Linked DNA regions of Ovis aries. The protein of the gene in region 1 interacts with the protein of each later gene in a biochemical or structural test. Links are inferred from orthologs where the notes say so. Each region holds a gene or a part of one and is shown in the gene's direction. Other genes may lie near its edges. The genes, in order: SRPK2, PRPF38A, RBM15 and LUC7L.

Region 1 (3,620 bases):
TCTGCGTCGGCCACTTCTCTACAAAGGAGTGTATAGTAACAGGTTTCCTGTAGCCAACCTACAATCGTCAGCATGCTTCCTTGTCTCCATTGAGCATAGTTACATCAGTGTAACTGGTGCACTTAAAATTAGTTACAAGAACTTCAGGGTGAAAGAAGATCAACTGACTTGAGCATTGGTGTATGAAGTTTTATTTCTGGTTTTCACAAGGTGTCAAGGTGGCCATGAAGTGTGGATGATGCTTTCATCCTGTCTGCACGTGCTTTCTGCCCTAGTGTGTTGTCAGGTAGCACAGGGACTGCAGAGTGAAAGCCCTCAAACTGAGGCTTTTGGCAGATGAACCACTTATGAATCTTGTTTTCTACCATCAGGTTGCTGTTTAGATAATGGAACCATAGTCTGTGAAGCTTTTGACATTGGCCAAGTCTGTTCATGTCATTTCTAGACTATTTGTAGTAGTATTGGATCTATTTTAGTTGTATGAACTTGTGAAATAGTTTTCAAACAGAGATGTGGAAGTTAATTGTTCATTTCTTTGTCTATAAACAAGTTGGGTTTTGTCACTCTTCTCCATTTTTCTTACCAGTCAGTGTTTTGTGATTGTGTGTTTTTGAAATGAATAAGTGTTTAATTTCAGGTTAATAAGAGAAATGACTCCATGTGAACCACTATGGCTTTGCTTTTTAAGAGCCAATCATTTGTTTGAGTTGGATAAACTTTCTTTAGGACTCTATGATTAACAAGCTTTAATATTTAAAGCTGTTTAAAGTTGTTTAAGTTGCATAGCCATTAAAAGGCAGTAGTTATTTCATTTTACAGTTCAGATTACCTACAAAAAGATAAGTATCTGTTTCACTCTAAATGTTCACTTTATTTTGTTTTGTTTTTAGTGAGTACCGCTCCACAGCAAAAGCCTGTAAGTACTTACATATATACTTCTATTACCTCCTTGTCAAAAGTGACTAGTCATTACTGAACTTTTCTAATTGTAACATTAGTTTTTGTTTCTTTCTGCAACAACTTTTTTTTAAGGGTTGTTTGAGGGAATTAGTTTTACTTTTTTTGTTGTTGTTGTTCCTTTCTCAGTCATAGATGTTGTCATGTATTTTAGCGTAAAAGACAGCCATATTTATAAATGCTGCGTATACTTGAATATGCAAGACAATATTTTGAAAAAGTGAAGTGATTTTTAGAGGTGGGATAATTAGAGCTGTCCCAAATTCTGTATTTTCCTCGTGTACTTTCTGGAGTGCTGTTGGCTGAGTCTGATAAAATGTGAGGTTATAGAGATAGGGTTTTAAGTGTGATTATTCCACAGACACTTTCTATTATTTCTGATTTGCCTCTAAGTTACCTGTTTTTTCTGAAGCTGCTGTTCTAATTTTTTTCCAGCTAGTAGTTAAATGTGAAAGAGCATTATCTGTGTGGTCCTATCAAAATTCCAAGTGTGAACAAATGAAGCAGGCTGTTTGGAATTAAATTCTAGATCTAAACCTGGTTTAGGCTTGGTTCCAGTTAAGCATAGAATATATATATATCTCTCAAGTTGATGGGTCACCTGCAAGTTTTAAAGGTCTTTATGACCCGAAAGCCCTCGGAAGGAAATGTGCAGAACTCCAGAGTGCAGCCAGCAACCCTCAGCCTGCAGTGGGAGTCCCAGCAGGAGGAGGAGCTGTAAGAATTCTGCCGCCTGGCCTGCTGAGCTCTGCCGTGGCTTGAGCAGTTTGCTTTGATTATTGGTTCTGTGAAAGACTGGAGGATCCCATTGCCAGTACTTTCCAAGTCAGATGGCCATGACTGGAGGCAGACTGAAACCATGGCTTTGTCTTTTTTTCCCTTTACTTCATATGCTCATTTCTTACAGTTCCTGCTGTCTTGGCTGTTTTTAACAACTTGGTGTGTGAGACCCAAGCACAAACAGCGCTGTTGACCAAACACGAATGAAGTACACCTGTTTTGGCAGACAGTTGAGTAAGACAGTAAAGAGAGGGAACATTGTTAATACTTTGTAGACAGGTAGCAGCAAATGAAACTTGCAAGAGATGCTTCTTGTCTAAAGGCAGAAATGCCTTGGCATAGTTAGTTCGTAGAATTTAAAGGGAAAAGGCTTGCTGGGTTTACGCTGTATCTCTCCATTGGCAGGAGCTGGTAGTAGTCCCGCTACTTGATATCAGCACTGGTTTCTTTTTTTTCTGGCTTTGCTGCAATGTTAACCATATTGTGGATCTCATGTCTGGGCATGTGATTTTAATTGAATAGACCTGAGAAAACAGACTGTGTTGGTATTTGCCATGTTGCCAGCACTTAGATGCTGCTGCATAGTGCTTTAAAAAGAAGCAAACTAACCTGTGCTATTTTCTTAACATGTTGTAGATAGGAAAAATATCTAAAAACAAAAAGAAAAAAATGAAAAAGAAGCAGAAAAGGCAGGCTGAGTTACTGGAAAAGCGCTTGCAGGAAATAGAAGAATTGGAGCGAGAAGCTGAAAGAAAAATAATAGAGGAAAACGTCACGTCAGTTGTACCTTCCAATGAGCAAGATGATGAATACCACCCAGAGGTGAAGCTAAAAACAGCAGGACTGGAGGAGGTGGCCGAGGGAGAGACTGCGAATAACAACGGTCAGTGAGTGCTGGAGAGCCGGCTGCACCCCAGGGCCTCACGCAGGGCGACTTGGCGCTGCTGTGTTTCAGACCTGAGGGCATTCCAAGTCATCCCTGGAGAATGTGGGAGCTGTCTGATACTTGCTTTGTAAAATAGGCACCAGAAACATGTTTCAGAATAGTTTTTGTTTTCCAATGGAAAATGTCTGAGAAGCACCATGTCTTTATCATGTTAATGATTGTCCTTCATTTTGTAATTAAGCTTTGACTCATCAGTAATGTACCCTTAGACAATCTCTGAAGATTATAGAGGAGAGGGTAGAAAATGGAAATACAGCTCTATTTATGCTCATTTTCTCTAAGAGCTAGCTTTCTCTAATAAGAGTAGCCTAGTTATTTAGTAAATGAAAAATAAGATTTAGAGAACCTGGAGATTTACCCTGAGAGCCCAGAGGTGTTTGCTGTGTAGCGAGTGAAATTAGCATGTTCAAACATGTCTCTTGTTGGAGAGGATAAATGCCTAGTGCACTCTGTTAAGGAGAATGACAAGTTCTAATTCTCACCCTTCCACTTCTTAAGGGGAAGCTGAGGACCAGGAGGAGAAAGAAGACACTGAGAAAGAAAACACTGAGAAAGATGAAGACGATGTCGAACAGGAGCTTGCGAACATAGACCCTACCTGGATAGAATCACCGAAAACTAACGGCCATATTGAGAACGGCCCCTTCTTACTGGAGCAACAGCTGGATGATGAAGACGATGATGAGGAAGATTGCCCAAATCCTGAGGAATGTAACCTCGATGAGCCAAATGCAGAAAGCGATTACACATATAGCAGCTCCTATGAACAATTCAATGGTGAATTGCCAAATGGACGACATAAAATTCCCGAGTCACAGTTTCCAGAATTTTCCACATCATTGTTCTCTGGGCCCTTAGAACCTGTGGCTTGTGGCTCTGCACTTTCTGAGGGATCCCCCCTTACTGAGCATGAGGAAGGCAGTCCATCCCGTGACAG
Region 2 (2,919 bases), on another chromosome or scaffold:
TGACCAGTCATTTCCACAGCCCCTCCCCTCGCAGAGAACGGCATCGGAGCAAGAGTCCAAGACGTCATCGCAGCAGGTCCCGAGATAGACGGCACAGATCCCGCTCCAAGTCCCCAGGTATAGCATTAGGGCCTTTTGCTTGCTGTTGGTTGTCTCAATAAAGAAATGTAATAGGAGCAATTAGCCTCCTACAATACAGGAGTACCTTACTTTATTACTGCCTAGAAAAGGAAGTGGACATAGAATTTGAAAATTAGAGTTGACATTTTAACTGTCATTTGCCAGCTTTGTTGATAGGATGGTGAGCTTCAGTTTTCATCTGAAATTATAGGAGTAAGACATGACAGAGTAGTGGTAAATACCCAGTGTGGTGTTAGTGAAATTTAGCCATAAAGTCCTGAAGGCTAAGTGGGTTCAGTTCTTTGCTACCAACAAGGTGTCCCTATCACAAGCCAAAAATAAACTAGGGGAAATAACAGCAGAGAGTATGAGGATAGAAACTGGTACACTGAATAGTCTTTCTTCTTCTCCAGGTCATCACCGTAGTCACAGACACAGGAGCCACTCAAAATCTCCTGAAAGGTATGGATTAGCTTCTATTTTGACTTAAGAATTTAAGTCTTTACTCACAAATTAAAGTCCCAATTACAACTCAGTTAGACCTGAAATATTCTTGTGTTAGTGGATATAATCTCCACCAATACAGTTTAGGAATTCTCCTTAATTATAGGACAAAGTGGTCTCTTGCCCTGAAAATTACTAGAATTATATATACATGAAGTTATTTTTCTTGTAGGATTGCGGCTTTGGATAAAGGCATGAGCCTTAATCTCAGGAGACCTGGGGTTCCTTCCCAGCTTTTAAGATTTTTTAAAATGTATTTACTTCTGGCCACACTGGGCTTTCTTTGCTCCTGGGCCCTGTCTAGTTGTGGTGAACAAAGGCTACTCTCCAGCCACAGTATGTAGGCCTCTCACTGCAGTGACCCCTCCTATTGCAGAGCACAGGCCCTAGGGCTCATGGGCTTCGCAGCTGCAGTACACAGGCATAGCTGCCCCATAGCACGTGGGGTCTTCCTGGACCAAGGATTGAACCCGTGTCCCCTGCATTGGCAGGCAGATTCCTAACCACAGGACCACTAGGGAAGTCTCAGTCCCAATTTTTAATACTTAGCAGTTGAATGACATTGGATAAGTCATTTTCATTTGGTAAGCTTTCATTAGATACCTCTAGAAACTGTACACTGTTGGAAGCACTCGATCTCTCAGAGGTCATTTCTTCAATGATAAATTTGGAGAGTAATGCCTAACTCAGTGTTGCTCTTAAACATAAAACACCAAGTACCTTTAATGAATATTGACTGTCTTTGTCCCCCATCAGTGTTAGCACGTATCAGTCTTTCTCAAAAATCCTTCCTCAGCTCCTAAAACAGCTGGTAAATTTAATGATTTGTATGTGTCACCATTTCAGGTCTAAGAAAAGCCACAAGAAGAGCCGGAGAGGGAATGAGTAATGGACTCAGTTTGGTTTTAATACAAGTGGCCTTCTGTGGAGATGAAGGCATCTGTCTACGTGAAAGAAAGATCTACTCAGTCCCAGGCAGCTATGAGAGTATTTTAGATTTTTTTTAAACCACATTTTCTTCACTTTTTTTTAACATGGAAGAGGTGCTGAGTTTTGTATCTCTTTATGAATTGTACGTAATCCACACATTTGAAAGATAATGGTTCCTGAACTGAGAGCTGCTTTTGGCTTCTTTGTACAAACTTGTTTATACTCAAATTTATGAGGGTAGAATGGATTCAAATAGAGTGTATGAAACAAGGGGAGGATGTGGCCACCTTGTTATTTTTGTTATTAAACTTGACACACCCATTTCCTGTTTTTCTGTGGTTTTAGTTTTGGTTTACACTGAGATTTGAACTGTTTTGAGAATTCTGAGATATGTGCTGCTGTTCCATTAAAAAAAAACAAGTCGGTAAAATATATTAGCTCCAGGTTTTACTTCCAGCAGCAGCAAATGGTAATAAACATGAAAACTGACCTGTTATCAGCAGCTTTATAAGAATGAATTCAGTTGTAAGGCTTTTTCTGGATCATTTAATCCAGTTGCATTAAACGTTCAACAAACAGTAAAACTTGACACCTATTACATAGCATTATTGTATAGTGTTTCTTCTTCCCTACAGCCTTGAATTCCAAATTAAGGTGCTCAGCACCTTTATGCTATGAGCATTGATATTATCAAGACTAGCAGTAGCAGCAGGGCAACCAGGATGAAAACGTTCAATGGAGAGAAAAAATATCTAATGCCAGTCAGAGTTTTAACCTGAGTTACTGGACAACAGCACCATTCACAAAACCAGAAAATACAGCAGGAAGAAACCAGGTTTTAGAGGGGCAGGTAGTGAGAATTGTGGTAGTAGGGAGAAAAAAATGCATTCAGCTTAACTTGAAGTTTACTTTGAGACAGCCATGGTATATCTAGATAAAGCCCAGACATTATAAATAAGAACTGGAGTTGAGCTAGTGATCTAACCCTGAATTAACAATGTTTAGGTAATTGTAGGTGTAGAATTGAATGGAATGCCTAGGGAGCGTACATTTGTAAGGAAAACTAGTAGTAGAATCATAAGCAACACTCACTCTGTTGAGGAAGAAGGGCAAACACTGACTGAAAATTGAAATAATTGAATCATTTCAGAAAGGTAGAGGAAATGGGAGAGATGGGTTAAGGATGCTAAGGACAAAGAAGCAAAATAAGGATTAAATAGTGCCCATGGGTACTGATAATCAAGAGGGTGTTGGATCTTTGCTAGAGGAGTTCTGTCTACCTGTACTTACCTTTCCTCCTTTAAAATGGAAAAAAATAATTGACATTTCCTGCAGCTCTGCCCCTGGCAACAATTATGAAGACCA
Region 3 (4,105 bases), on another chromosome or scaffold:
GTATGGCTGTGAGAGTTGGACTGTGAAGAAAGCTGAGCTCCGAAGAATTGATGCTTTTGAACTGTGGTGTTGGAGAAGACTCTTGAGAGTCCCTTGGACTGCAAGGAGATCCAACCAGTCCATTCTGAAGATCAGCCCTGGGATTTCTTTGGAAGGAATGATGCTAAAGCTGAAACTCCAGTACTTTGGCCACCTCATGCGAAGAGTTGACTCAATGGAAAAGACTGATGCTGGGAGAGATTGGGGGCAGAAGGGGATGACAGAGGATGAGATGGCTGGATGGCATCACTGACTTGATGGACATGAGTTTGGGTAAATTCAGGGAGTTGGTGATGGACAGGGAGGCCTGGCATGCTGCGATTTATGGGGTCGCAAAGAGTCGGACATGACTGAGCGATTGAACTGAACTGAGTTTTCAGTCTCTAAAAGTTTCAAAGTTTAGGTTTCAGTTTGGGGGACCTAGTTACCTCAAAAGATGTCATGTTTAAAAACATGTCACATTGTCTCCTACAGATAGAATCTTGAGAGATGCAGTTGAAGAAAGGATCTATACAAGAATCCCCTTTCCTCTGCCCAGAGGACTTGAGGAGGAATGCATAAAAGCTTAGCCCTGTGATGAACTCAGCACTACCTCCCTTCATCGGATAGAAACACCAGCACCCCACACAAGAGCTTTACTGTCTGACACAATGAAGGTCTATGGAAAGAAATTTGGGTTAAAACGGCGAATGATTTTCAGAGTCAAAAGAGATGGACTTAGATAGCAAGGTGGCTGTTCTACCCTGTTCTGAAGGTGAGGGCACGTACAAGAAACCACAGGAAAAAACGCGACACATCTGCAGGCAGCAAAGTACATTCATTTCATTCGATTATTTACCAGGGAAGGTTGTTAACATATAAAAATCTAACGCAGCTATATTATCGGACAAAACCCGAAATCTACGTGAATTTGCAACATAAATCAGGAAGCCCAGACTCGTCCGTCGTGGCCCGAGTCCCCACCCTGCCTATAGGAGTCAAAACTGGAAGCTTCAGTCTCTCTTTTTCCTAGGTTACCCCAGGACACTCGGGCGGGAACGAATCGCACCGAGCAGTGCCGACTTCCAGCCTGGGCTAAGCACCAGCTCCAGAGCTGCGGGACCCCAAAGGCCTGAGCTCAGCTTACGACCCGACCCGCCCCCGGGCGTTAGTGTGACCCGGCCCTTCCTGAACTGTGAACCTGGCCCTACCGGCGCCGCGGGCCCCAGTGCGCTTTCTTGCGTACGGTGGGTGGGGCTTTTAAAGGCCGTTCACGCAAAGGCCAACGGCGCTAAGATGGTGTCCGCTGGGCGCCCCGGGACGGTTTCCTGAAGGATTCGCGGGCCCAGCGGTGGGAGGGAAGAGGCAGAAGCCCAGCGCCTGGTCCCACACAGGTAGGAGGTAGGACGCCTAGAAGTTCTGAGGTCCGAGGGCCAAACCCCAACCAAGTACGCCGTGGGAGCGAACAAATGTTGGAAAGGAAAACGCCGAACGCAGAAAGGCGGAACGGTCTCATGGTCACCATTTCGCGACGTCTAAGTGACGTCGCACAGCAAGCGCGTATTCTACTCTTTCACCTTCAGACAGCCTCCTCATTGTAAGAGCCTACGCCTTTAAGCGAGTGATGGACAGTTATTTCGGCCTATCAACTTCATCGTCAACATCCAATCAGATTTAAACTTCTTTCAGCCGCCGGAGGAGTTGGAAGAAAGGCATCGAAAGAGGGAGCTTTCTCTCTCTCGCGAGATCGCTGTGAGCCGGCCTCTCAGAAAAAAAAAAAATGCTAGAACATATGGCCTGACTTCCCAAATAGTAGGTTAAAGGACGGGGTCATAAACCAATGAAAGTTATGAGGAGGCGGGATCACTGCTTTCGCCCCGCAAGAAGTACCGTTAGAGGGCGGACTTTTTGTCCAATCAACGCCTCCAGACTTTGGGTCAGGTGACCATCGAGTGCAAGGGGCGGAGCTACAGTCTGGCGCGAGGAACCGTTAAGATGGACAACGAATATAACCAATGAGGTACTCTGACTAGGGCGTTGAGAACCCAATAACAGTGGTTGGGCGGGCGCCTTCCCGGAGCGCGGGGAGATGTAAAGACAGACAAATAGTTTTCCCAATGAGACTGTAGAAGAGCGGAGCTAATTGACCAATGAAGACTGCGGGGCGGGACCCTCTGCCGCGGCACAGTCCAAGATGGCGGCGTGCGGTTCCGCTGTGTGAAACCAGCGCGGGGCGGCGGGTTAGTCAGTTCCGCGGAGAAGATCTCCGACGCCCCGCTACCATGAAGGGAAAAGAGCGCTCTCCGGTCAAGCCGAAACGCTCCCGTGGTGGTGAGGATTCGACTTCCCGCGGGGAGCGGAGCAAGAAGTTAGGGGGCTCTGGTGGCAGCAATGGGAGCAGCAGCGGAAAGACCGACGGCGGCGGCGGGTCGCGGCGCAGCCTTCATCTGGACAAGTCTAGCAGCCGAGGTGGTAGCCGCGAGTACGACACCGGAGGGGGCAGCTCCAGTAGCCGCTTGCATAGTTACAGCTCCCCAAGCACCAAAAATTCCTCGGGCGGGGGCGAGTCGCGCAGCAGCTCCCGGGGTGGAGGCGGGGAGTCACGTTCCTCTGGGGCCGCCTCTTCGGCTCCTGGCGGCGGCGATGGCGGGGAATACAAGACACTGAAGATAAGCGAGTTGGGGTCCCAGCTGAGTGACGAAGCAGTGGAGGACGGATTGTTTCACGAGTTTAAACGCTTCGGTGATGTAAGTGTCAAAATCAGTCATCTCTCGGGTTCTGGCAGCGGGGATGAGCGAGTAGCCTTTGTGAACTTCCGGCGGCCAGAGGACGCGCGGGCGGCCAAGCATGCCAGAGGCCGCCTAGTGCTCTATGACCGGCCTCTGAAGATAGAAGCTGTGTATGTGAGCCGGCGCCGTAGCCGCTCCCCTTTAGACAAAGATTCCTATCCTCCTTCAGCCAGTGTGGTCGGGTCCTCTGTAGGTGGTCACCGGCACCCCCCTGGAGGAGGTGGTGGAGGCCAGAGATCACTTTCCCCTGGTGGTGCAGCCTTGGGATACAGAGACTACCGGTTGCAGCAGTTGGCCCTTGGCCGCCTGCCCCCTCCACCTCCGCCACCACTGCCCCGAGATCTGGAGAGAGAGCGAGACTACTCGTTCTATGAGAGAGTGCGCCCAGCCTACAGTCTTGAGCCAAGGGTGGGAACTGGAGCAGGTGCCGCTCCTTTCAGAGAAGTAGATGAGATCTCACCCGAGGATGACCAGCGAGCTAACCGGACGCTTTTCTTGGGCAACCTAGACATCACTGTGACAGAGAGTGATCTAAGAAGGGCTTTTGACCGTTTCGGAGTCATCACAGAGGTAGACATCAAGAGGCCTTCTCGGGGCCAGACCAGTACCTATGGCTTTCTCAAATTTGAAAATCTAGATATGTCTCACCGGGCCAAACTAGCGATGTCTGGCAAAATTATCATTCGGAATCCTATCAAAATTGGCTATGGCAAAGCTACACCGACCACCCGCCTTTGGGTAGGTGGCCTGGGTCCTTGGGTGCCTCTTGCTGCCCTGGCACGGGAGTTTGACCGGTTTGGCACCATACGCACCATTGACTACCGCAAAGGTGATAGTTGGGCATATATCCAGTACGAAAGCCTGGATGCAGCTCATGCTGCCTGGACCCATATGAGGGGCTTCCCACTTGGTGGCCCAGATCGTCGCCTTAGAGTAGACTTTGCAGACACAGAACATCGTTACCAGCAGCAATATCTGCAGCCTCTGCCGTTAACTCATTATGAACTGGTGACAGATGCTTTTGGACACCGGGCACCAGACCCTTTGAGGGGTGCTCGGGATAGGACACCACCCTTACTGTACAGAGATCGTGATAGGGACCTTTATCCTGACTCTGATTGGGTTCCACCCCCACCCCCAGTCCGTGAACGCAGCACTCGGACTGCAGCTACGGCTGTGCCTGCTTATGAGCCACTGGATAGCCTGGATCGCAGGCGGGATGGCTGGTCGTTGGACCGGGACAGAGGTGACCGAGATCTGCCCAGCAGCAGAGACCAACCTAGGAAGCGAAGGCTGCC
Region 4 (2,802 bases), on another chromosome or scaffold:
GCCACCTGATGCGAAGAGTTGCTCACTGGAAAAGACTCTGATGCTGGGAGAGATTGGGGGCAGGAGAAGGGGATGACAGAGGATGAGATGGTTGGATGGCATCGCCCACTCGATGGACATGGGTTTGGGTGGACTCCGGGAGTCGGTGATGGACAGGGAGACCTGGCGTGCTGCAGTTCATGGGGTCGCAAGGAGTTGGACATGACAGAGCGACTGAACTGAACTGAGGGTCTTCCTCTTATGTGGAATCTTTGTATCAGGCACATGGGCTCCAGAGCACGTAGACTCAGTAGTTGTGGCATGCAGTCTTAGTTTCCCCATGGCATGTGAGATCTTAGTTCCCTGACCAGGGATTGAACTCATGTCCCCTGCATTGCAGGGTGGATTCTCAACCACTGGACCACCAGGGAAGGTCCCTCAAGTGCATTTCTTCCATTGCTGGTTGTGTACTGTTTTCCGGGAGCTCCTGCAGCACTCCCAGGAAAGTGAGCCTGTGTTTGGAGCTTGGGTGTCCTGCCCAGCCCTGCACTGTGACTGTCTGTGTAGCTGGGTTGGTGTCCGCTGTGAAGTTTGCAGAACCACTGGTTCAGCTCAGTGCAGCATGGACCCCTGGGTGCTGGTCTCTTCCTTGTCCCTCCAACAGGTGGTGGCCCCTGGGCGGGCCTCAAAGCAGGTCCTGTGGGAAGTTGACCCTCGTCACCATGTGGACATGGGGCACCTCCCCTCAGCTATAAGGAATTGGGCTGTTTTTGGGAAATTGCTCATCTTTTTTTCCATTTTAGGTCTGGATCAAGAACAAGAGATCGCAGGAGGTAGGTTTTCCATTGATATATTCTCAGTAAGATGTCCTTTTCCATGTGCTTTTTTCTTGATACTTAGCCTTTATAACTTGGCATTTGTTGTCTGGGGTCAGGGCTGGTCACAAAGGGCACAGGGCATGGGTTAGAAAGAGAGCCCTGGTTGGGGCGCAGTGCAGTGTGGGGTGGGCGTTCACTGTCAGTGAGAAGGATGATCAGAAAGTTCCTGGCGTGTTTCCGGAAGCATTGGTGGGGCGAGTCTGGCCAGTTATTTGTGACCAGGGTGGCGTTGAGGGGACGATTGTGAACCGGGTTACAAGTCTGGGAGGAGAGAGCAGATACAGCAGTAAGGTGTCAGCACAGCCTCTGTTGCAGGTCGCGCTCCCGGGACCGACGTCGCAGGCGGTCGAGGTCTACTTCTAGAGAGCGGCGGAAGTCGTCCCGCTCCCGGTCCCGGGACAGACACCGGCGCCACCGAAGTCGCTCCCGGAGCCACAGCCGTGGCCATCGCCGGGCATCCAGGGACCGGAGCTCGAAATACAAGTAACTACTCTGCTCCTTCAGTATTTGCAGCAGGAGTGGAGCCCTGCTCTGTGCGCCAAGCCCTGGGGGCTGTCACCCAGGGACTGAGCGTTGAGGCCTTGAGGGTCCTGACGGGGCCCAGGGCTCTGGGAGTCCACCTGCTGGGGGCAGCAGGGGGCTTCAGGGCTGGACAGTTGAGAGCTGCAGAGGTGTCCCGTGTAGGCGAGGCTGTGCTTGGGCTACACACGCACTGCCACTGTGGTGCACACAGCCCTGATAGGCTGCTCACCCAGGTTGTGATTTAAAAAAAGACACTACTGATGGCCATGTTCTGAGATGACCACCTCTCGCTTTGGTAATGCTTTTCCTCCATTGTGCTTTTACATGATGGATCAGCTCGTGCTGCATCTTCCTTTGCACTGTTTGCATTTTAGGGAAAGCTGTCCCTGTTACTAGAGCCCTCTGAAAACGCCACTCTGTGTTAGCTGCCCGGCCCTCCCTGTGCGGCTCCTGCTTGGCCCTCCCCGCTGTGCGGGTCTTCCCTTCCCTCGCATGGAGGGTCCTCGGTGTCCGCGCCTGGGGAGCACCCAGGAGGGAGGGCCAGCCCTCGATGAGCCTCTGGTTCCCTTTCCCCAGGTTCTCCCGAGAGCGGACTTCCAGGGAGGAGTCCTGGGAGCGCGGGCGGAGTGAGCGGGGGGCCACCGACTGGAGGCTTGAGAGCGCCAACGGGAAGGCTGCATCGCGGAGGTCAGAGGAGAAGGAGGCCGGCGAGATCTGAGCCCACGCCCAGGCGCTGTAAATAGTCCGATCCGCGTTTGACACGGCCTCACGTCACCCTTTCTATTTGCGGAATACAGCTCATCTTTTGTAGTTTAACATTTCTATTGTTTTGGAGCTAGCTGTAAGTTTCTAGAGGTGTACAGAGTTGCTCCTGTGCTCTGGGTTATGTCGAGTGGGAATAAACAACCTGACAGACTGCCTCCCGGCGGCCGCCGTGCGTTCTCTGCTGTCCTGGCTGCGCTGGGCTTGCCATGCCTTCCACAGGGCGGGGGGCACGCCCGGGTCACCTGCACGCAGCCCAGAAATGTGACTCATCCTCGGGCTCCCCTCTGCATTATGCTCTCCCTGCCCCGTGTGTCCTTCTGAGGTCCAAGCTGTTCTCTTCCCCCATTTCTTTGGAGGACTGCCTGTCTGGTTTGTGGTCGGCAGCCTCCGCCCAGTGCTGGAGCTCAGATAAGCTGCAGTTCCCTGTCTCGGAGTTACTCCGAGCAAAGACCCACAGAAAGGTCGACATGACGGCCACGAGGTCCTCAGAGGAGGGCACGTTACCTTTGGGGTCAGTCGTGGCTCTGCTCACCCTTGGCAGGGCTGGTGGTATTATCCAGTCTCCCTCAGCCCTTCTGCTTGTATCTTGAGACTAAAGTGAGCTATTCTGACAATACAACTGGGAGCTCTTTCATTTTTTCACTTTTCAGAGGGAGGA

The links.
Region 2: of the proteins of SRPK2 (region 1) and PRPF38A, one has a biochemical effect on the other in vitro, tested with the Homo sapiens proteins (2 studies listed by BioGRID and IntAct). The link is inferred for Ovis aries from reciprocal best matches to the Homo sapiens genes SRPK2 and PRPF38A.
Region 3: of the proteins of SRPK2 (region 1) and RBM15, one has a biochemical effect on the other in vitro, tested with the Homo sapiens proteins (2 studies listed by BioGRID and IntAct). The link is inferred for Ovis aries from reciprocal best matches to the Homo sapiens genes SRPK2 and RBM15.
Region 4: of the proteins of SRPK2 (region 1) and LUC7L, one has a biochemical effect on the other in vitro, tested with the Homo sapiens proteins (2 studies listed by BioGRID and IntAct). The link is inferred for Ovis aries from reciprocal best matches to the Homo sapiens genes SRPK2 and LUC7L.

The regions. Positions count from the first base shown.
Region 1 is NC_056057.1:47,825,033-47,828,652, reverse strand, and holds part of SRPK2 (SRSF protein kinase 2), read left to right. Parts: intron 1-890; coding exon 891-916; intron 917-2,373; coding exon 2,374-2,620; intron 2,621-3,181; coding exon 3,182-3,620. UniProt on the Homo sapiens protein: Serine/arginine-rich protein-specific kinase which specifically phosphorylates its substrates at serine residues located in regions rich in arginine/serine dipeptides, known as RS domains and is involved in the phosphorylation of SR splicing factors and the regulation of splicing.
Region 2 is NC_056054.1:26,821,514-26,824,432, forward strand, and holds part of PRPF38A (pre-mRNA-splicing factor 38A), read left to right. Parts: intron 1-19; coding exon 20-117; intron 118-533; coding exon 534-582; intron 583-1,470; coding exon 1,471-1,513; 3' UTR 1,514-2,919. UniProt on the Homo sapiens protein: Involved in pre-mRNA splicing as a component of the spliceosome.
Region 3 is NC_056054.1:87,639,711-87,643,815, forward strand, and holds the start of RBM15 (RNA-binding protein 15), read left to right. Parts: upstream 1-1,280; 5' UTR 1,281-2,168; coding exon 2,169-4,105. UniProt on the Homo sapiens protein: RNA-binding protein that acts as a key regulator of N6-methyladenosine (m6A) methylation of RNAs, thereby regulating different processes, such as hematopoietic cell homeostasis, alternative splicing of mRNAs and X chromosome inactivation mediated by Xist RNA.
Region 4 is NC_056077.1:773,055-775,856, reverse strand, and holds the end of LUC7L (putative RNA-binding protein Luc7-like 1), read left to right. Parts: intron 1-782; coding exon 783-812; intron 813-1,172; coding exon 1,173-1,340; intron 1,341-1,955; coding exon 1,956-2,097; 3' UTR 2,098-2,299; downstream 2,300-2,802. UniProt on the Homo sapiens protein: May bind to RNA via its Arg/Ser-rich domain.